Notamacropus eugenii: one gene and its partners. The protein of the gene in region 1 purifies or fractionates together with the protein of each later gene. This does not show direct contact. Links are inferred from orthologs where the notes say so. Each region holds a gene or a part of one and is shown in the gene's direction. Other genes may lie near its edges.

Region 1 (7,891 bases):
CTGGCACTACTACCTCTCCTCTTTGTGCCTTTGTAATTGCCTCTCCCTATGCCCAGAATGTGCTTCCTTTGCAACTCTGTCTTATAAAACCTCAAACTTCAACCACCTTCTCCACAAAGCCTTTCCTGATCCCCTTAACTCATACTGCCCTCCCTAACTACCTGCTTATATAGAATTTGTCTTTTTGATGGAATGTAAACTCCTTTGTTTCATTTCTTATATTGTATGTCTAGTGCCTGGAATATAGCAGATATTTCATAAATGCTTGTTGATAGCTTTTCTCTTATAGTGTTCACTTTATCTCTTTGGGAGCAGTTTTTCTCTTTCATAAATCCTGGAGAAGTATGTCTATAGTCTGACAATTGTGAACCACCCTTCAAAACCTGGGTAGCTTGACAAATCATTTGCTGGTAATTCTCCATACACTAACTCAGAAAAACTCAATTCTAGGGAAAAAATGGTGTTCCCCCACCCCAAGAAGGTGTCAAAGTCTGTCAATAAACTATCTTTATTGGCCTGGGGTAGATCCTTGTAGATATTAATGGACATAACTAATCACAGATTTTAAAATTCTGCTTGCATGGGTTGATGATAAGCACTAGGGTAAAGGACCTTAATCTTAGGGACAGGAGGCCATTCTTAGCAGGTTTTAAGGATGAGAAGCCAAATGTGTCACAATTTCCCAGTGCTCTCATAAGAGCCTTTGGCTGTTTGAAGTCATATAGATTTAAAGAGACCCATTTAAGGTTAGGATGAGTGAAACCAAACTTTTGCTGCAGTTCTTGAGGGACAAGGTTAAAAGAAAATGTTTGGAGTTAGGCAACAAGATGGCCAACAACATTAAGGACTTTCTAGGAAAAACAAATCTCCAGGAGCTAGTCAGGTTTGCTGTTTGTCCTGAACAAGACAAGATCTCTAGCCAATTTGGTATAGCTCTGACAGCTCCTGGAGGAGTTTCTCATCCTCATCATTCCTACCGTGTGATTTCTCTAGCTCTTGCTCCTTACAGATCAGTTCTTCCTCTGTGGGTCTGGTAACATACATACTTTGGAGTTTCTGAAACAATTTTTGGCAGCTCTCTCTTTCAGCACTGCTCAGCAGGCTCAGGTTGAGGCCAAATCGGCCAGTTCTGGATAGGCTATGAAGGATCTCCAGTACAGCAGCACGGTCAGCTGGCTTAAAATTCTCTGCCAATGTCACCAGCAGTTCACCGAGGAGTCCAAAACCCACATCTACTCGGAAAAGGTGGCCCAAGTTGGGGGCCCCAAGCTGTAACAGGGTCTGATAGCGTTCTGGTCCATTCTGGAGGTAGCGGCGCCAAGCCCTATAGAAATCTGAAGATGTCTCAGGCTGACAATCTCCCTTCTAGGTCAAAGGGAAAAGTAAAAAGAGTTATGTCCTCAAGACACTAAGGAGTCAATACTTGCAAGCTCTATTCCTAGCTTTTCTACTGACTCAGTCTTCATCTCAGGAAAAACATGACCCTTTGTGGGCCTCAACTTCCTCATATAAAATAGGCTTTTTAAAACTTCCCATTGTCAGGCACAAGTGGGATCTTGGGGACTAGGGTGTTAAAATAACAACATGATTTAGCATCATATAATGGAAATTTACAAAATGTGGATACAGCATATTCTAAGATGGGAAGGGAGGTAGGCCACAGGTCTCAGAATCCTAGAGGTAGATCTGATTGGCTGAGAGCTGACAGATCCCATCTCCTCATCCAAACCATAGTGACTGTACATACAATGGGACTGCACTTCATACTTCATGTCCTTAGCAGAATGTTCTCTGGATCAGTGAGCCCATATCGTCCTTCTACTCCCTCAACAGAATTTGGTGCAGTTTCTGCTAGTTACAGCTCTATAAACAGTGGTTGAACTGGGAAAATATGATATAACATAGATAATGTTAATTTGTGGTTTCTCTAAGTCAATATCTAGCCCTGCAGGGATCTATTTCTATTTGAGTTCGGCACTTCCTCTCTATAGAGTACAGAGATCCTGGCCAAGGTCACAGAATCTAAGAGACTGCTCTGATTGGCTGAGATCTGACTAACCTGTCTCTTTATCCAAATTTTGAGATGGTTCTGTACCCTGTACTTGTCACAGCCTGGAGTCTGTGTACCCTAAACCTGAATGAATGGGATTTCTTGAGTGTAAGGGGAATGGAGCTTTTCCCCAAGGTGATGACGTGGTGGGGCTTGCATGCCTCCTCCCCAGAGATGTCCTTTCCTTGAAGTCCTCAGGATGCCTAGGGTACAAATGCCTCCTTGGAATTCTTGAAAGATGGGCCATCCCCTTTAAGTATGACAGCACGTACGAGTAGGACTTTGTACTACGTGTGCTTAGCAGACTGTCCTCTGGGACACTGACCCCCCCCTGCAGTCCCCAGACTCCCAGCACTTAGCTCAGTGCCCAGTACACAGTAGATGCTTAATAAATGTTTATGGAATGATTGGATTGGATTTAGTCTAAAGGCAGTTTCCGCTAGTTACAGCTCTGTAAAAGTTTTGTTAATTAAGAAAAAGAAGCATTACAAGTAAAGGTTAGGGTTCCCCAATGGACTATAGAATGGCTATTTCACCTGGGAGATATAAGTGCTCTCCTCCTGAGTGATGCCTGTCTGAGCAGTGGTACTTGTCACCTGACAGTTCCAAGGCACTGTCTTCTTGATATTCATCTTGTCCTTCCGCTCTAAAGGCTTCAGGTGTGAGGCAAGGACAATGTCCCTGTGGGCAAAGGAGACAGTATTTGAGGGAAGACTCCCCAGGCTGGGTGTGGAGGTATGGAGCTGCTGCCCTAATGGTTCCTGAACCCTGTAACTTCAGCTGCATAAACATGGTGCTATAACTATTTAAGCTAACTGGGCCATGGAATATAGTTAGGACAGCTCTGGGGTAAAGTTGTGTAAGCCAACCTGAACTCTTCATAGGAGGCCACCTTCTGTTCCACAGCCCGGAACTTGGCAGCATTCTCTCTTTGGTATTTCTCATCAGCAGCTAGTGCAGCCTGCAACTCCTTCTCCAGAGCCCTAAAGTCAATGGTATCAGTCTTTTCCATGTCTGGAACCTGGGAGTGAAAAAGAGGGTGAAGTCCAGCAATGAGACATTACCAGGGAAAGAAGCTACTGTATATCATGATAACTCTTTGCCATTCTAAAAAGATTAAAGCACTTTGTCCAAATTATCACTCATCTCAAAGAGAAAGTACAAAAGTTGTCTCCCCATTTTAAAAAAGAAAGGATCTAAGATATGTAGCAATGGTCCAAGATCCCACATAACACCATTGTTTCACTGGGAACAATGGACAACATTTATGTAATTCTTTAAGGTTTGTAATTACACCTACATATCCCACAACAATACTGTGAGGTAGATACTATTATCATCCCCATTTTATGGATGACAAAACTGAGACTCAGAGAAGCAAGTAACTTGTCCAGGGTCACACATGTAGCATATATCTGAAGCAGTATCAAACTCAGACTACCCTGATTCCAAGTCCAGTATTCCATCTACTGCCGAGGACTTCTAAGTTCATATTCCCATCTAGACTTGCTTCTTGACTAAAGACTAAATTGGCACATGTACTGTTAGTCTCTTTATTGAAAAGGTGGTTTAAAAAGCCATTTGAAATTGGGAGGCACCTTAGAATTCAGACTTTAGAGAACTTCCTAAGAACTCGCTTGGAGTGAATGAAGGACATATGGTCACGCAGTCACACAGCAGATGTGACTATAGCTCCTTTTGAGCCTAGGATAAATTTCAAGTCCTGTACATCCAAGACAGATGTAGTGTTGGGGAGGGAGTAGAACCACACAAAGGTTGCTGAATTTTCTAAGGGAGTGGATGACTCTTTCCAGCCTCTTCAATTGTAATAACTGAGCTAGAAGGAGACATAAGAGTATCTGAAAGAATTGGTTAGGATGAATGCTTCTTGACCTTGTGGTCTTGCTCTCTTCTGGAGTCGCTTGTATCACATGGTTCCAACTCAGTGGACACCTGTAGCAGCAGGGGTAGATGTGGACTAGTGAAAAACCAATGCCTAGAGACTCGTGTCTTGCACAAATTAGACATTTCATAAACATTCCCCGAATTGAACTATGACAGAAAAATGGATGAAGGGAAATTTTTTCTTCTACTTGATTTGGATACCTTTGCAGCCAGTCCCTTCTGCCCTTTCCTTCTCAGGTCTCAATGCAAACTGGCTCCCTGCACCTCTGGGAGGATGGAGCTACCCTGAAGGCTCAAAACTGTTGTGGCCATTTGCTCTCCACAAACCCTAACAGATTAAGATCTGTAAAACCCCTCCAAAACCCATGTGGTCCAAGCCCCTCTTTGGAAGGGTGCTTCAGAGCTTATCCTGTCCAAGTCTCCCACTGGAGGAGGACCCTGAGACCCAGAGAACACACAGACACACAGACACACAGACACACAGACACAGACACAGACACACACAGACACACACACACAGACACAGACACACACACACACACAGACACAGACACACACACACACACACACACACACACACACACACACACACACACACACACACACACACACACACACACACACACACACACACGCCCCCACCCTGTAAACAGACCACGCAGAGCCCAGGCATCCTGTGCCCGACCCAATTCCAACTGCCCTGAGAACTAGTAGAGCAGAAGGCGAACCTACCCTAGCTCCTGGTCAGCCGTCGCTACCCTCTAACCCCCTCAACTCAAGAAAAATCCTCATGGTTCTCCTGCCTAACAGGGGGCTCAGGCTACAGCCAAGCGGAAACAGTTGCCTAGCAACAGTCTCACTCAAGCAGCCCACGTGATCGGGCCTCTCCCCGTTCGAGCTGCCCTAGTGATGCCTGATAAAATGAAGGCCGCGCTTGCTCGCTAACGTCGCCTGGGCCGTCACGCTTTCCTGTCCGGCGCGTCGCAGGGTTCCCCCAAACCGCCCCTTCAGCCCGGAATGGCTCTATCCTACTCCGGCACCTCAGGCAGAGTAGCAGGCGGCGGAGGAAAGGGGCGTGGCCTCGACGTCGCGCGGGGTCCTTCCTAGCGAGCGTCGCAGGCGCCGGCCCATCTTCGGACGGAGAGAGCGCGGTATCGGCGTTGGGATTTAGAGCTGCAGGTGAGGAGTCGGCGGCCCCGAAGTCGGGGCGTGAACTCGATCGGATGGGGTCCGAGGCTGGCAGATGTGGAAGGGGTGGACCTTAAAAGAAAACCTCATCTTACAAAGGAGGGCACTGAGGCCTTGGGGCAGGCCCGGCCTCTGCTCGGGTCCCACCAGAAGGGGGGATGAGGGGGCCGGGCCTGGTCGTGGTGGGGAGGGCCGGCGTGTCACTGATGGGCCCGGTCGTGACCGTGGGCAAGTTTCCTAACTTCTGCGTGTCCCTTAGTGGAGTGGAAGCTCCTTGCGAGCAGGGACTTGTTCTTTGTGGTTTTTTCCTTCCTCCTTTTCTATCCCCAGCACATGGCCCTTAGGAGACACTGTGTTTGTTGAGTTCAATGAGCAATAATACACATTTTGTCAGGTGCTTTAAGGTTTATACACCGCTACCTTCCCCTGTACTCCCCCATCACTCAGAAGGCCCAGGTGCTTTATCCTTAGGTGACGGATGAGGTCCTGAGAAGCTAAGTGACGTCATCGCCATCCTCATCATAGCGGACGTTGATAAAGCACGTTAAGATTTGTAAATCACTTTACGTACGTTAGCGCGTTTGTTCTTCACCGCGGTCCTCCGAGGTAGACGCTGATATTATCTCCATTTTACAGATAAGGAGAATGAGGCTGACAGAGGCTGTGACTTACCCAGGGTCATCCACAGCTAGTAAATCTGGTGTGGATTTGAACTCAGATCTTCCCAACTGCACTGGGCCACCCAGCTTGTTTCACTAATAAGCGTCAGAGCAGCGAATCCAAGTCCTGTTAGAAGGGTGCTTGCTGCTGAGTAGGACCTTTAAGTTTCAATAGTTTTAAACTGTAGTAAAGCTTTTGGGATGCCCTCTACACAGTGCTGGGCCCTTAATACTAGAAGATATGTTTTATCATGCATATGTGCACCATATTTACATCCTGGCACACTTTGGAAGAAAACTTCTCAAGTCATCCTAGCTAAAAAAACAAAAACAAAAGAATAGGTCATGGTTTGGTTACCTTAACTAAAAAATAACAAAAATAGGTCATGGTTTGGCGATTTACTATATAAGATACCTTCTGGTAATGAATATTCAATTAATCTAATCCTTGAACTGCGCTTAGTACAAGAAAATTTTCTAGCCTGTCTAGGACCTGCCTGAGCTAATGTAGTTCCGCCAGGATTGACTTGTAACACCAGTGTCACCTTATCACATTGGGGCACTGGAGTAGAAGCTTAGTAAGGGAAACACAGGCATGTTTATGGCTTCGCTGGAAGTTGATTCAACAAATGTTTGTTTTAAATTTTTGTTATTGATATCTTTTTTTTTTTTACATTGCCTACACTTCCTTTGTTATTCACCTAACCATTCCTCCTGTCAAAGAAGAAAAAAAGTCGTTGAGTAAAATTAACCAACTAACCAACACTGACAGTATATACAATTCAAGAAGTATTTATTAAGTACTTTTCATGTGAAAGTCACTTTTCGTTTGCTGGAGAGATACAAAACATAAATGAATCCCTTCTGGTCCTCATGGAGTTTACATGTTTGAATCAAATGAGAACAAATCTTAAAGTATTTTGAAAGTGTAAAAATTCTAGAGAACCAGATTGTACACTTAAACTTCACAGGATTTATATCAAATGGGTTTATCTTAGAAAGCAGTAGATACTTGGTTGGTGTTTCTTGGAGTGGAAAGCTTGGAAGCATCTGTGGGAGAAATAGTACAAGTAGTACAAAAATATACAGGAAGTTTTATTAATTGATCTTTAAGGAACATATAGCATAGGATTTTATTTTGCTCTGCAGCTAGCATAACAGAACTCAGGAGGAGCAAAAAATAAACAGTTCTGGGTACTGTTCATTTTACACTGAAATGGAAGCTAGTTTAAAGGTAGTCAGTCATGGTCAGGAGAGGGAACATATATTCACCCTTCTCTTCTTTGCCTGCCCACAGATTACTTATATTTTTTTGTTTTCTTCCCCATGGATATTTAGCATCATGGACACAGACCTCTATGATGAGTTTGGGAATTATATTGGACCAGAGCTAGATTCTGATGAAGATGATGATGAATTGGGTAGAGAAGCCAAAGATCTTGATGAGGTAAGACTACTTTAAAATAAAGTTTTACCCACCCCCGCTCCCCCTTTTATTTGGAGGATATGAAATTTTGTGTCACTGAGAATAATAGCTGGCATTTACATATACCTTTAAGGTTAGCAAAGCACTTTATCAATATTATCTTATTTTATCCTCACAACGCCTCTGAGAGGTAGGTGCTATTGCCATCTCCATTTTACAGTTGCGGAAACTGAGGTAAGCAAGTCACATGATTTACCCAGAGTCACACAGCTTAGCGTGTGAGGTGCTAGTGTCTTAGTGTTTGAACTCAGGTCTTCCTGACTCCAGGAATAGTGTTTTATTCTCTGTGCCACTTAACTGCCAGAATAGAGAATGTGAAGTACTTTATTTTATTCTTTCCTCTAACCTTTTCAGGATTTTTGATGGAAATTTTTCAGGAGGTGTGATATTTTGAAATTTTATTTATCTTTTTCAGATTTGTTATTTATTTATTTTTAATGTTCCTTCTTTTTCAAATTTTGAGTTCCAAATTCTTTTTCTCCCTCCCATCCCCTCTCCTACCCACTGAGAAGGCAAGTAATATATCAGTTATATATATGAAATCATGCAAAAGATTTCCATACTAGCCATATTAAAAATAAGAGAGAGAAAAATTTTAAAGTG
Region 2 (7,607 bases), on another chromosome or scaffold:
GGGGGTTAGGTTATGAAGGGTTTTGAATGATAAACAGCATTTTGTATTTGTTCCTGGAGAAAATAGGGAGCCACTGGAGTTTATTGAGGGTCATATAATGTGCAGTTGAACTAACTCCTCTACAGGGTCAGTGTGAAGGAAGCACTCTGTAAACCCTTAATGTGCTATAGAAATATGAGCTCCTCTTCTCTCTCCAGCCCATACAACTCTGGTAATCCAACTGGGTCTCTAGAAAAGAAGAAAGTGATGTATATGTATAGTGAAATGAATATTAGATGAAGTCAAAAAATCTGCTTTTAATTGAGTCCTCATTACTGATGCTGAGTTGTATGGTTTGGGGCAAATAAGTTAAGCCTCTATCCTTCAACCTAGCTCCCTATTTCTTCCTGGTTCTTCCAAGCCCAAGGGTAAGAATTCTGCCTTGGAATGTTACTTCTCCGAGGAGAGGTATAGGTGATCAGATTTCCAAATCAGGCGCAGTTTCCTTCCATACAAGATTTAAGGACAATACTCTGGCTGAGGGAAATGAGGAGGTAGAGACTGAACTCAGGTAGTTTTTGTCAAAAGAAAGTAAGTTTCCAGGTGCTCAGGACAATTGAGATATCTTAAGGCGGATAGGAGCTGGGTGTCAAGCCACCATTCCCCAAGGGGTATCCTAGATTCTCTGAATCTGAAGATCTAAAGGGGATGTAAAGTCCTTAAAAGTATGGATTGTCTCACTGTTTCAGGCAGAACTAAAAAGGTGACTCATCAATCAGTCAATTAATGGGTGTTTATTACATGCCTATATGCCAAGCACTGTAAGCACAGGGGATATAAATATAAAAATGAGGTAGTCCTTGTGCTTCCTTTGAATCTTTGAATTCAGTGAGGCTGAGATTTTCCTCATGGACTTTGGAAATTCATGATACTCCCTCGTCTTCAAGATATCTCAGATGTCCTGGGCACGAAGGAACTATCCTTCCTTTGGATAAAACCCCCCAAAATTGAAGAGTAGTCCTGTCAACCGTAGATATAGTCCAGCTCTGAGTGAACTCTGTGATTTTTTTTCCCCACTTAATATTATTTTATTTTTTCCAATTATATGTGGACAGTTTTCAACATTCACTTTTATAAGAGCTTGAGTTCCAAATTTTTTTCTCCCTCTCCCCCTTCCCAAGATGGCAAGCAATCCGATGTAGGCTATACATGTACAGTCTTATTAGAGATATTTCCACATAAGTCATGGTGTTAAAGGAGGAATCAGAACAAAAGGGAAAAACCACAAGAAAGAACAAAAAAGAGAAAATAGTATGCTTTGATCCGCATTCAGACTCCATAGTTCTTCCTCTGGATGTGGACAGCATTGTCCATTATGAATCTTTTGGAATGTCTTAGACCCTTGTATTGCTGAAAAGATCTAAGTCTATCAATGTTGGTCATTGAACAGTATTGCTGTTACTATGCACAGTGCTCACTTCACACAGCACCACGAACTCTGATTGTTTTTGGGAGAATAATGTTGTCTATATCTCACTTATACCTAATTCTAGGTAAATTAGAATTTCATAGTCAGACTCCTAGGGAAGTTCTGTGAGGGAAGGTCCAAGGCAGGAAGGTAAACCAGCCACAATATAAACCTCCAAGGAGGTGAAGATCCTTCAAGTTTCCTTGGTCTAAGTATAGATACCCCATGTACCATAGTTTCTCAAATTTCTGGGTCTCTTTACAGTAACTCCTAGAAATGATTGAGGCCATCCCAAAGAACTTTGGTTCACGTGGAGTTATGTGATATTTATTGTATTAGAAATTAAAATGTCTTCATATAATTATAAAAATAGTTTTGACTCCATGGACCCTCCTGAGAATTGCTGCTGTAAACCCTATGCTGCAAAGAGAAGGTCTAAATATTTCAAAAGAAGGTTTGTTAAGTCAATGATAAAACAAAATAACATGTGACTATGATCTTCAGAATATGTAGTATCTAAATCTCTGAATTCAGAAAGGTTTGGTTGGCAAATTTTAGGGACTCCATTCTCTATTTTCTATTTGCATCCTCAACTTTTGCCTCAATCCTGTTTTAGAAGCCTTGGGAGAGCAGCCCTTCCTTATCTGATCCCAGGGCTTCCTCCCAGGAAGAGGGAGAGATCTCTTTATCCTGGTGGAGTAGCTTGGTCTCTCTTGGAAGACCCTCTCTCTTTCTAGGGTTCTGGCTCTATACATTTTAGTCTTATTTTTTTTTTTTTTTACCGTAGTCTCATTCCTATTCTATGTCCCTGTGGCTTTACCCTGAGGGGCTGCTGCCACACCTACACGCTCCCACAGCCAGGAAGTGACGGTCTCCCTTTTTGTTGCCTAAACATGCCCACAAGTTTCTGAGGCCAATTTTTTGCCAGGGAAAACAGAGAAGAGTTGATGACTGACAGGTCCTAAAGTTAATGAACGTTCAGCCCTTCCCACTTCCACAAATTGGCCCTGTGGGAGGGACTCCTGTGAGTTTGAGGAGTGAATACTAGGAATATGCTAGAGTCAGCTCAAACCTCTCAAAGAGAGAGCTAAATGTTAAATTTTCTCTGTGTGTATTTCACCTCAGAAATTAGTCAGTGTTACAAATCAGGGTTTGAGCTATTGCTTTGTTGATTGTCTAGACTTAAGGAAGTGATGGAGAAATTGTTAGATGAAGAGTAAACTTATTAGTTTGCCATATGTCCATTTTTCCAGAGAGCCGGTTTTTAAGCATTTACTCCTATACCCCTGGGTGATGTGTATGGGGTGGTGATGATGGTATTAGTAGAAGAGTTCATAGTTTCAGGCCCTCCAACTTCTTCCCTCAGAAGGGGCTATCAGAGCAGGGTACCTAACAAGGCACCTGGGGCATTTCCTGTGTGATCTTGGACAAGTCTCTTCCAGATGAGTGGATTGATAGTTATGTAGGTCATATACTTGCCACAAGTCTGGGCCAAGGAGTTATAAGGAGAAAATGGTAGCATGCTGGTAGGTATAGAGATACTCATGTGTATATGAGCAGGAATGTGGAATATAAGGAAGTATGGGGGAAGTTTGACTCAGGGGATGTTGCCCCTCCATTCTGATCATTTTCTCTTTCCCTTCTACTGGTTCTGAGGTCTGGTGGCTGAGACATCAATTAGACCATACTGAATGACCTCACTCTAGTCTTCCTTCCACTCCTGAATGTCTCAGGACAGGAGCAGAAGATCTCTATGTCATAGGATCCATCTAGCAGTGGCTACAAGAGCTGGGGAACCCTGAGAAGGGGATAAATTAGAAGCTGGTGTGTATGGGAAGGGACATGTTAACCTGTCTAGAAGAGTCCTGGCTATCAGAACCCCAGAACCACACCGGGATAAAGTGAAATTTAAAGGAGATAAAAGAACAAGTACACAACTGAGAGATGGCTTGGAAAGGTCTTTGGTACAAAATGTTCTGTTCAGCATTCAAAGCCCTTTATAATTTAGCCCTCTCCTATCTTTCCAGTCTTCTTACACTTTATTTCCCAGTACATATTCTTCAATCCTGTGACATTGGCCTCCTAGCTGTTCCATGAAGATGACACTCCATCTCTCAGTTCTGGGCATTTTCTCAGCTGTCCTCCATGCCTGGAATGTTCTTCCTTCACTCTAACTACTAAGTTCTCTGGCTTTCTTTAAGTCTCAGTTAAAATCTCACCTTCTACAGGAAACCTTTCCTAACCTTTCTTATCTCCAGGGCCTCCCCTCTATTAGCCATTTCCTATTTTTCCTGTAACAGAGCTTGCTTTGTATGTATTTCTTTGCATGTTGTCTCCCCCTTAGATTATAAGCTTCTTGAGAGTAGGGACATAACTCAAAATTATACAAGACTCCTCAACAGAGGTATAGTTGTGTGCCCCAGTGAGACTTTAGCAAAGCTGAAAGGTAAGGATGGGTAAAAATACAGAAAAATGTATGGTAAAGTCTTTAAATGCAAAATTAACATTCCACATCTTTGGAAAGTTCAGATGCTTGAACAGCACAGTTGCATATGAAAAGCAGGGTGGCTAGGTGGCGCTATGGCGCACAGATTGCCATGCTTTCTGTCAGGAAGCTATACCTTCCTGAGTTCAAATCTGACCGCAGATACTTACTAGCTGGGTGATCCTAGGCATGTGCTGAACCCGTTTGCCTCAGTTTCCTCATTTGTAAAATGAACTAGACAAAGAAATGGCAAACCACTCCATTGTCTTTGTCAAGAAAACTCCAAATGGGGTCTGGAAGAGTTGGACATGACTACAATAACTGAACAACAACAAAATTCTCCTCATTCCTCCTGCCAGAAGCTCATGGTTGTTGTATTATATAAGATAATAATTGTAACACAATAGTGCCTGATACATAAAAGTGCTATATAATGTTAACTATTATTATGTACTCTCATTTCTTTTCCAATTTGTATGACAGATTCTTCTCAATCTCCTTTGCTGGATCACTGTCCATGTACTCTCCCCTGCACCCCTGAACCCCACCTCAAGGTACCATGTACCATCTTCATTTCTGTGCCAAAGTCAAATATTCTTAACTTTTTTGGGGGGGGAGGGACATTTTTGGCAGTCTGGTGAAGCTACAGATCCAATCTCAGAATAATTTTTTTTAATGTATAAAATATAATACATACAATTGCAAAGTAAAAAAATTATAGTGAAGTTATAATCAAAATATTTCTAAAAACCCAAGCTCTTAGTTCCCAGGTTAAAAGCCCCTCTTGTAGGTGATCTCATCAGCTTCTCATGGATTCAAATGTCATCTCTGAATGTCTGCCCAATCTACATATCTAGCCTACATCTCTTTCTTCAGTTCCAATCTTACATCACCAACTCCCTGCTGGACATATTTGCCTTGCCTGGATGCCCTGTAGGCATCTCATACTCAACATGTTCACAACAGAATTTCACAATCCTCCTTAAGCCCACCCTTCTTCTTAACTTCCATGAAGGCACCACAATCCTTTCAATCAGGTTTCCAAACTATGTTGGGCATCATCCTTGACCCTCAGGTCTTCCTTAACCCCTATATCCAATGAACTGCTAAATGTTATTGGTCTAACCTTCACATCTCTCACATCCTTCCCTTTCATTCATAGTCAGTCTTGGGTAAAATACAATCTCCTTCCTTTAGTCTGCAGAGTCCTTCCAAAGCCTCTTCTCAGACTTACAATCCTGCCTTTCAGCCACACTGACCTACTGGTCATTCCTCTGAAGCCTGTCTCCTCTCCTTGCCTTTGTGCACTGGAGACTTCTCCCCTCACCTTTGCTTTTTGGGCTCCTTCGCTATTTCCGTATCTCGGCTCCAGGCTAATGCCCTGACCACGGACTTTTCTGGTTCCTCGGTGCCACCCCCTGAATTATTCTGTATTTATTAGCCTGTCACTTTCCCCAGGGTGGCACGGAAGCCACTTGACTTGACGGTACGCATGATTTCATTTTTGTCACTCTATCTACAGGTCCTAGCAGAATACCTGGCAATTTTAGCAAGTGCTAAATCAAAGCTTCTTGAACGAACTGAATTGTGTTTTCGTGCGTCCGTGTTCACGAGCTGGGAGCTTTGTGTCTTTACGTTACGTGTATCGTATCCGTGGGCGGAGCCAGGTAGGAAGAGCGTGGGCAGCTTTATGCGGGGAGGGGGAGAAGCTGTGTACCTGCGCGCATGTGCACAAAAGGCGCTCCCACATTCCCACGCTCCCGGCGACCTCCCCAGAACGGATCTCCTACGCATGCGTAGACACCTACCACTTAGGGCCCTCGCTGTTTTGACACCGTCGGGCCGGAAGGCTAGGGAAAAAGTGCTTCCTGTCAACCTCCAGAGAGGAAGAGGAGGGGTGGGGCGTCGCAACGGAGACGTTCTACACTTCCGGGTTTCGGGTGACGTACTTCCTCCTCCTCAGGTCCGAGGTTCTGCGACATCTCAGTCTCGGAGGAGTACTTTGGGGTGTCCCCCTTGGCTTCCCCGGAGATCCCCGGCTTTCCCGCTACCAGCAGACACCATGAACAAGAAGAAGAAGCCGTTCTTGGGAATGCCCGCGCCCCTTGGCTATGTGCCGGGGCTGGGCCGCGGGTGAGCGGGGACTGCAGCAGAGCCGAGGCCGGGGCCCGAACGAGAGCGAGACGGCCTTGGGCCGGTGGAAGCTGCGTCCCTCATCGCTCCTCCGCCCTCTGGTCGTCCGCCCGTGCCCTCGGGGGAGGGGTGGGGAGCGGTGGAGGCTGCTCTGGGGGGGCTGGTCTGTCACACACACACACACACACACACACACACACACACACACACACACACACTTTCCCCACCCCATACTTATCGTCCTTTCTATTCTCTTTTCTCTCTGTCTCTCCTCATCCTATTTATCCCTCCCCTGTCTTCCTCTCTCTTCATTCCCTCCGATTCCCCAGCAGGCCTTGATCTTCAGTTCGCTCTCCTTACCCATCTTTATCCAAACAAGTACTGCCTCCTAATAGTGACCACCGTTCAGTACTAAGTAAGCCGCGGGGTTTGCCAAAGACTTCTCTTGCAACCCTGCTGTGACTGATGCAAGAATACATCCCCTACGTCTTACAAGTCGGATACCTGGGGTTTAGGGAGATTAGATGCTTTGCCACCTGAGCCAGGAAGTGTCACTGCAGGGATTTTCAATTTCGGGATTCCTGATTCAGCCCAGGGCTCCTTCTGGGAAACCCCACTGCCTTACGTTCAAGCTCTCTTTCTTGATCCTGGATTGGACAGATTGTAACATTTCATCTTTCCTACCTGTAGCTCATCTTTCGTCTGTCTTAATTGATCCAGTTAGGGGAAAAAACTGAACACAATGTCCTTTCAGCAATAGACCAGAGATTTCATCTTCCTATACAGTTTAAAGCATTTAAGTTTTGTTTTGAGAATACAGCAATGCTTAATTTCCGTTGAAATAGCACTGTGGCATGTTGAAATTACTTTTTCCTCCCCATAAATTTCCCTTTACTAGAGAAATAAAAGTGTTTAGGAGTATGCTAGAAAAACAGAGGAGGGAAATGGGTGTAAGGGTAAGGTAGATGAAATGACATTTTGCTCCCTTATCTTCCCTAGCTTACTTCATGTCTGTTAAACCCCACCTTCTACAAGATAACTTTCTTTCCCAGTTGTCCTGAATATTAGTGTTTTTCCTCTCAGATTTTCTCCATTTTGTATATAGTTGTTTGCATGTTATCTCCCATCATTAGGAGTCCTTGCTCCTTGAGGGTAGAGACTGTTTTTGCCTCTGTCTCTGTATCCCCACTGCTCAGCATCCTGCAGCATAGCACCTAATGAGTATTTTTTGACTTGATTGAAATCTGTTAAGAAGTAATATGGCTTCATGGATAGAGGCTTCACTTGGATTAAAACCCTGCCTCTTATACTTATTAGGTGTGTGACGGTCCAAATCAGTTAACCTTTCTGAACCATGGCTTCTTCAAATACAAAGTGGAAAGAGTAAGAGATGTACATACCTCACAGGATTATTTTGGGTCTGAAATGAGACAACGTGTAAATCACTTTGCAAACTTTAAATCTTTATATAAGTGTCATATATTGATATTAAACAAATATCTTAAACATTTGTGGAGAGTGATCATATATCAGTAGCTGAAT
Region 3 (7,003 bases), about 240 Mb from region 1:
ATTCTGGAGTTGTCCAAGATAAGGGGCCTGGTAGCAGCAGTCATCTCAGGCAGAGCAGTAAGTTATGGGATGGGTTAAAAGGTTGGGTTAAAATCCCTGAGGTTACCCTTCCTCTCTGTCCTAATAATGAAAGGCCTGCTAATGCTGGCTGAAGGGCACTTTTAAAAATCACCTGGTGGATATATCCATAATTCCAGAAGATAATTTGTTACTAAATTTAAATGTACCTTTAATACAGCTAAATAAATTTAAGTGGAACTTAGGTCCTTTATGTCAGCTGATTTGTAAACTTTCCCCTTCGAGGTAGGTGTGAAACTAATTAGCCCTTCCACCTCTGAATCTCGAAGCTCTCAGGTTTAAACATTATAGAACTTAGACCATATCACCAGCAAGGCTGAAAAAAAAACTTATAACTGTGTCAAATAATAAGTTTTAAATATCTTATCAGATAAAACAAGGAAGAAATATTTTAAAACTATAATATAATCTTGCTTTTACTCTGCCATCTTGGCTCTGCCCCCTATTATAATTGTAATGAAATAAAACACACTGAACAAAAATAGCAGTTTTTGGACAACTCTTTAACAACTGGGTTTATAACCTAACAACCTAGCAGTATCCAGATTGCAAGAGAAGTAATTTTTCTAACTATGTTGATATTAGCAAATTTCACAGCATAAGCATGCACTTTATTTTATATTAACAGTATTAGGAAATATATAAGCAGCTCTACCAGTTTAGATTCACAATTGTTATTATTAGGTTAGTTCAAAGTATGCCAGGCCAATATTATAAGCCATTGCTGTTAACATTTTTCACTCTAAAATTCTGGGTTGAGGATTGATTTTTGGTTCAGGCAAAAAACCCTACAGAGTTTAAGCTGATGCTGGTGGTCATGGCCCACTGAAGTTGTAGACGGTTTTCACAGAACACAGAGTTATTATAATGATTCTACAATAATAATGAAAAAGTTTGGAATATTGCAAGAATTACCACAATGTGACAAAGAGACATGATGTGAGCTACGTGCTACTGGAAAAATGGCATTGACAGACTTGCTTGACACAGGATTGCCACAAATCTCCAATTTGAAAAACAAAACGCAGCATCTCCGAAGCACAATAAAACTTTGGGATACTTGTATAAGGTAGAAGATGAAGCTAGTGGATGACTGACACCAAATACGTACTTGGGTCCTCCTTACTGCTTCTGAGGATCAGGGCAATTAGTTGTACCCTCCCCTAGAATTACCTACTTCACTACTTTATACTTACACTCTACTTTGTATCAGCTCATACAAGTTTTCTCATTTTTCTGAATTCCTCATATTCCTATCTTCTTACAGTTCAATAGCTTTCCATTGCATTCATATGCCATAACCAGTTCAGTTTTTCTTTAGTCAATGGGCATCTTTTTTCTAGTTTCTCATTTTTTTTCTACCACAAAGAGTTGCCAAGAATATTTTGGTATATGTGGGACCTTGCTTTCTGTCTTTGAACTCCTTGGGACCCAACCATGTTGGAATTGCCTCGGGCAAAAGTAGGAATAATTTCATGACTTTGTTGTTATTGTTGTTGCTATATTAGTGTGATGGTGCTCCTGCATTGCTTCCAACATTAACTATTCCCATCTTATGTAACTGTAATTTTGAGGGGATATAGAGCAAGTTTCAGAGTTATTTAATTTGCATTTCTCATTATTAGTTACTTGGATCATTCTTTCACCTAATTCTTGATAGTTTGCATTTCTTCTTTTGTTTATATCCTTTGCCCACTCATCTCTTGGGTAATGGATCTTGGTAGCATATTTTGGGTCTGTTCCCTACATATCTTGGGTTTAACAATTTTATTGTAAATATTTGATGCAGTTTTTTCTTCCTCTTTTTTTAAAAATCTGGAAGTCTTTTAAAAAATCTTTTTATATTCTCCCAATTACATGTGAAAACAATTTTAAATATTCATTTTTAAAACTTGAGTTCCAAATCCTCTCCCTTCCTCCCCACCCACACCTCCCAATGAGAAGGCAAGCAGTTCAATATAGGTTATACGGGTGTAGTCATGCAAAAGATATCTATAATAGTCATGCTGTAAAAGAAAATATAGACAAAAACACTCAAGAAAAATAAAGTAAAAAGGTATGCTTCAACCTGTGTTCAGAAACCATCAGTTCTTTTTTCAGGGATGGATAACATTTTTCATCGTTAAGTCCTTCAGAGTTGTATCATTGTATCAGAGTTGATCATTGTATTGCGGAGAATAGTTAAGTCATTCACAGCTGATCATCTTACAATATTGCTGTTACTTTGTACACAGTACATTCCACTTTGCATCAGCTCATGCAAATCTTTCCAGGTTATTTTGAGAGCATTCTGCTCATCATTTCTTATAATACAACTATTCTGTCATAATCACATAACACAGCTTGTTCAGCCATTCCCCAATTGATGGGCATTGCCTCAATTTCTAATTCTTTGTCCCTTTTTTCTCCTTATCTTCGTGATAATTTCACATCTTATTCCAGCTGTATTAATTTTGTTTCTGCAAAAGCTTTTAAATTTTAGGTAATTTAAGTGATCTGTTTTATGATCATTTCTATCCCTTGTTTGGTTAAGACTTTTTCACTAAGCCGTAGTTGTGAAAGGCATTTCTTCCCATTCTCTTCTAATGGGAATGGCACTCCGGATGTATCATATCTGGGTCAGCTACTATTCCTAGCCTTTTCTTTTGAAGTGCCATTCAACTTCTTCATGTGGCGTATTGGGACTGAAGACTTAGGGTTGGAATTCAGCGGTGCCTTTGTCACTGATGATGAAAATAGATTTGTAGAGAAATGCTGACAAATCTGTCCTCTTTTTTGGCTGTTTTCTGCCAACCAGTTGTATTTATGGATGCTGGTGGTATGACGTAACTCAGTTCCATCTCAAGCTAAGCGTTCTGTAGTTGTGTCAGTTCTCCTCCAAGTCACCCTGAAGGTCACCTATGCTATGCCAAGGTGAAGAGAATTATATACTTGGTTCCAACCTCAATCCAGCGTGGATTCTTATCTTTTACAGAAAGCCTTTCCTAATTCCTCTAATTTTAATGTCTTCCCATTTTTAATTATTTCCTCTTTTCCCTATATATACCTTGTTTGTACGTATTTGTTTCCTTGTTGTCTCTAGTAGATGGTGAGCTCCAGGTGCGGAAACTGCCTTTTGCCTCTTTTTTGTAGTTTATAAATACTAAATAGTCTATCCTAGTATTTATAAAAATAAATCACATATAACGATAAATAATGACAGTACACAATCATAAGAACAAATATCTGTATTCTAGAAACAACAAATGTGTATTGGTTGACTGAGATTCCACTCACTGACCAGGCAAAACATAAAAAATAAAATAATAAAGCAGTTAATTGAAGCATATGAACAAAATAGAACAGGGGGAAAAACACCTTGCAGAAAAATTCTTAACCTCTCCTAAAGCAACAGAAAATAGCCGTCTCCCACCTCCCACTCCCCACACTCCCATGCCAACTGGGAAAGGCAATGAATCCTTCAGTACGGGGTGTTGGGGCTGGGGGGGGGAGAGGCACGTGGGGGAATCACGTCTAAAGTCCCTTCCAGCTCCCAGTGTACGGTCCTAAGTCACACCTGGCCGTCTACACCTGCTTTATGATAATTACTTATTAGTATTGTTCCCCCAGGAGACTATATAAGGTCCTAGGGGGCAGGAATGGTGTCCTTTCTTTTCTTTCCGTCTTTGAATTTCTAGCCTAGTTCAGTCATTCATATTACAGACGCCTAATAAATACTTATGGAATGGAATGGAATCGAATTCCCTAGTTCCCGTCCAAAGCTTTTAACTTAGGAATTTAGAGTTACCCGTCCACGCGCAAGGCAAAACCACCAGCCATAGAACTGTTCCCGTGTGTGACACACCTCCGACCCTCAGGTGGCGCTATGAGCTCCCACTCCTCTCTATCCCCGCCTCCCACCATCGACGCAGCCGCAGATCGACCCGGGAACGAAGACGCAGCTGTCAGCTTTTTATGCGCATGCGTGCCACTACAAGCGAGGCCGGGCGCTTTGACCGGGAATCTAGCTATCTAGTTTGGGTTACTCCCCGCGACCCGGTAATCTCGCGTGACTAACCTTCTCTCTGCGCCTGCGCACAGCATTCGGAAGCCGAAGGTCGTGCTGGGAAGAAGGGTCGGCTTTGGGTTCGGAGGCCGCTACGCCATTTCAGTGTTCGCCCGATCGTCTCGGCTATTTGCCGAATCACTCACCCTTCCGCCAAGATGCCTCGGATTATGATCAAGGGGGGCGTATGGAGGAATACGGAGGTGAGCGTCGTCTTCCTGTCACTCTCCCTGGCCCCCTGCGGTGGTGTGTGCGCATGCGCCATCTGATGGTAGAGCAGTTATGGGGGCGGGGAGTAGGGGGTTAGAATCCTGGAGTACGTAAAGTTGGAGCGGACCTGGCCCCCGGGTGCTTTTCCTCGCCCTCCACCTGCGCTTTAATTTGGCGCCACCCCCTGCCTTTCCAGGCTTCTCTCATGCATTCCACGCACTCTGTGATGCGGGCAAGGCTGGGCCGGTGGGCAGCGCTCCATTCTCCCGCCCCCGGTGCTTTGGCTCCTACTGCCCCTCGGGGCTGGAATGCCGTTCCTATCTGCCCCAGAATGCTGCACTTCCCTTTATCCTCTAAAGCCCAGTTGGCACACCTCCTCCAGGGAGCCGTTTACGGAATCAAGAGTGGTCCTTTCGGATGGGTCTCGTTTCTAGGGAGTTTTTCCTTGGGCCAAATCAAAATTGGTTTTCTGCCGACTCAGAAATAATAATAATGATACAATAATAGCTAGCCTTTATACACCGTTATAGGGTCTGCAAAGTGCTTTACAAATCTCCTGGGATCCTCACCACCCCTCTGGGAGGAAGGTACTGTTATTATTCGCATCAAACAGATGAAGAAACTAAGGCAGACAGGGTCCCGTGAATATTAAACGTGTGAGGCAGGTTTTGAATTTAGGTCTTCCTGACTCTAAGTGCAGCATTCTACGTATTGTGCCATCTAGCTGCTTCTTGTACTTCCACTGATTGTACTGGATTCTGTTCTCTGAACACATCTAATCCTCCTTCCAAATGATACCCTTTTTTCATGCTTCAGTAATTTCTATTTTTTGTTACTCTGAACTTTACAAACACCCATAAATGTGACCTTCCATATTCAACAAATAGAAAAAAGATTACGTATAAAAATAAAAATATTGCTTGTTTTTAAAAGAATAGAATAAATTCAGTTTGTTAGTTTCAGAGCTGTCTTGTTCCTTTATATCTAACCTCTGAACCTTCTGGAGAAGGTTCTTTGTCCTTTTTTCTGTACTTTTTTAGTTCTTCAGTGATCTTCCTTCTTTCTTTCCTTTCTTTTCCCAAAACCTTAAACCCAGTGCACTCTGAAGTTGGACAACTATAGGTCCTTGCCCAAGCTCCGCTTAATGGCTGGCTTAGAGTGATTATCAATAGTAACAGTTTCTTTTTCCCTCCCAGTTTGATTTACTTATTTTTTTCATTGGTTCATTAAAAGGGCCATTCCCTGATTACTTCTGGAAGAGGCCTATTCAACTCAATGGGTGTTACCTCCTTCTAAGTGAGTACCTGAAAAGGCCTAGCCTAAAAAGGCCAAGGTCTCCCATTGCATCCTGGGCCATCTGCAGTCATCCTGATGAATATCTGGTACTGGATTCAGATGGCTCTGGAGGAAAAGTGAGGCTGGTGACCTGCACAGCCCTCCCTCACTCAAAACAAAGTCAAGTGCAAGTCATGTCATCATTTCTCTGATGCCATGGTCCTCTTCGACAATGAAGGACAAAAACACGAAGTCTTGAGAAGACTAGTTACTGGGGGAGGCTGCACCACTTTTCCAACCTTGGGGACAATCTTTCCTCCAATGTCCCTTCTGGTCACATGTGCACAGTTCCATAGGCATTGATTCCTGGGGCTCCCTCTGGGGGGGCGGGCGCCCTGGAGGGGCACTCCTTGGACCAGTGACCCTCCTTTATTTAAATGTTTTTTGACAATTTTGACAATTTTTTGACAATTAATGTACTGTCAACACTCTTTGAAGATAGACCTAGATTTACCCATGAATTTCCAGGCCCAAGCCTCCTATAGAGATATTAAGCCAGTGTAATAATAGCAGTAGGTAAACTTTACATAATGTTTTCAAGTTTGCCCAGTAGTTTACATATATATTTACTCCTCTGTGAGGTGGGTACTATATTAGTTATCCCTGTTTTACCATTGAAGAAAATGAAATGTAGAGAAGTCAAGTTTCTTGTCAATATTAAGGGAGTGAATATCAGTGGTAGAATTCAAAACAGCCTTTGGGACTACATGTCCAGCTTTCTGTCTGTCATGGTATAGTGGAAAGGGACTCAATGGAAGAGTCAGATGAGTTAGTACCAGATCTGTCAGGTGTCAGCCAGGCTGCTTTGGGAATCACCTTACTTCCGTTGGCCTCAGTTTCTTCATTGATGGAGTGAAACCATTGAATCACATAACTTTTTAAGGTCTCTTACAGCTGCACAATTTCCCATCCTCTTTTTGGAGGGGGACAGGAAGGGGTGTTCCCTAACCTTGCTTGGAAGACTACAGAAACCTTATCAGAACTAAGCTAGATTGATTCTTTCTGGTGAAAAATAATTTTTGTTTGTTAAATCTTTTTCTTGTTCATTTTCTTAGGATGAAATTCTCAAAGCAGCGGTAATGAAATATGGAAAGAACCAGTGGTCTCGGATTGCTTCACTGTTGCATAGGAAATCAGCAAAGCAGTGCAAGGCCAGATGGTATGTGCAAGTCAGCAAAGGGAACCTTGGAAAAACTTAATGTGTACTTAATGGTAATAGGGGAAGTGTGGTAGTTCTTTGAATTTAGTTAAGAACAGGAATTAAGAGTGTAGTGTAAAGATCTGAGAGTCAGGAAAACTAGGTCCTAGTCCTGGTTCTCTTGTGAACTTGTTTGA

The links. Proteins that work in one complex are often made in the same cells at the same time.
Region 2: the proteins of EFTUD2 (region 1) and PRPF6 purify together in Homo sapiens (affinity purification with mass spectrometry; 6 studies listed by BioGRID and IntAct, with this or other methods). This does not show direct contact. The link is inferred for Notamacropus eugenii from reciprocal best matches to the Homo sapiens genes EFTUD2 and PRPF6.
Region 3: the proteins of EFTUD2 (region 1) and CDC5L purify together in Homo sapiens (affinity purification with mass spectrometry; 6 studies listed by BioGRID and IntAct, with this or other methods). This does not show direct contact. The link is inferred for Notamacropus eugenii from reciprocal best matches to the Homo sapiens genes EFTUD2 and CDC5L.

The regions. Positions count from the first base shown.
Region 1 is NC_092873.1:349,016,001-349,023,891, forward strand, and holds the start of EFTUD2 (116 kDa U5 small nuclear ribonucleoprotein component), read left to right. Parts: upstream 1-4,874; 5' UTR 4,875-5,134; intron 5,135-7,140; 5' UTR 7,141-7,144; coding exon 7,145-7,249; intron 7,250-7,891. Other genes in the region: DNAAF19 (dynein axonemal assembly factor 19), read right to left, coding at 916-1,365, 2,587-2,731, 2,920-3,062. UniProt on the Homo sapiens protein: Required for pre-mRNA splicing as component of the spliceosome, including pre-catalytic, catalytic and post-catalytic spliceosomal complexes. Component of the U5 snRNP and the U4/U6-U5 tri-snRNP complex, a building block of the spliceosome.
Region 2 is NC_092872.1:496,238,647-496,246,253, reverse strand, and holds the start of PRPF6 (pre-mRNA-processing factor 6), read left to right. Parts: upstream 1-4,597; 5' UTR 4,598-5,424; coding exon 5,425-6,065; intron 6,066-7,607. UniProt on the Homo sapiens protein: Involved in pre-mRNA splicing as component of the U4/U6-U5 tri-snRNP complex, one of the building blocks of the spliceosome.
Region 3 is NC_092873.1:107,878,741-107,885,743, forward strand, and holds the start of CDC5L (cell division cycle 5-like protein), read left to right. Parts: upstream 1-3,993; 5' UTR 3,994-4,281; coding exon 4,282-4,326; intron 4,327-6,723; coding exon 6,724-6,827; intron 6,828-7,003.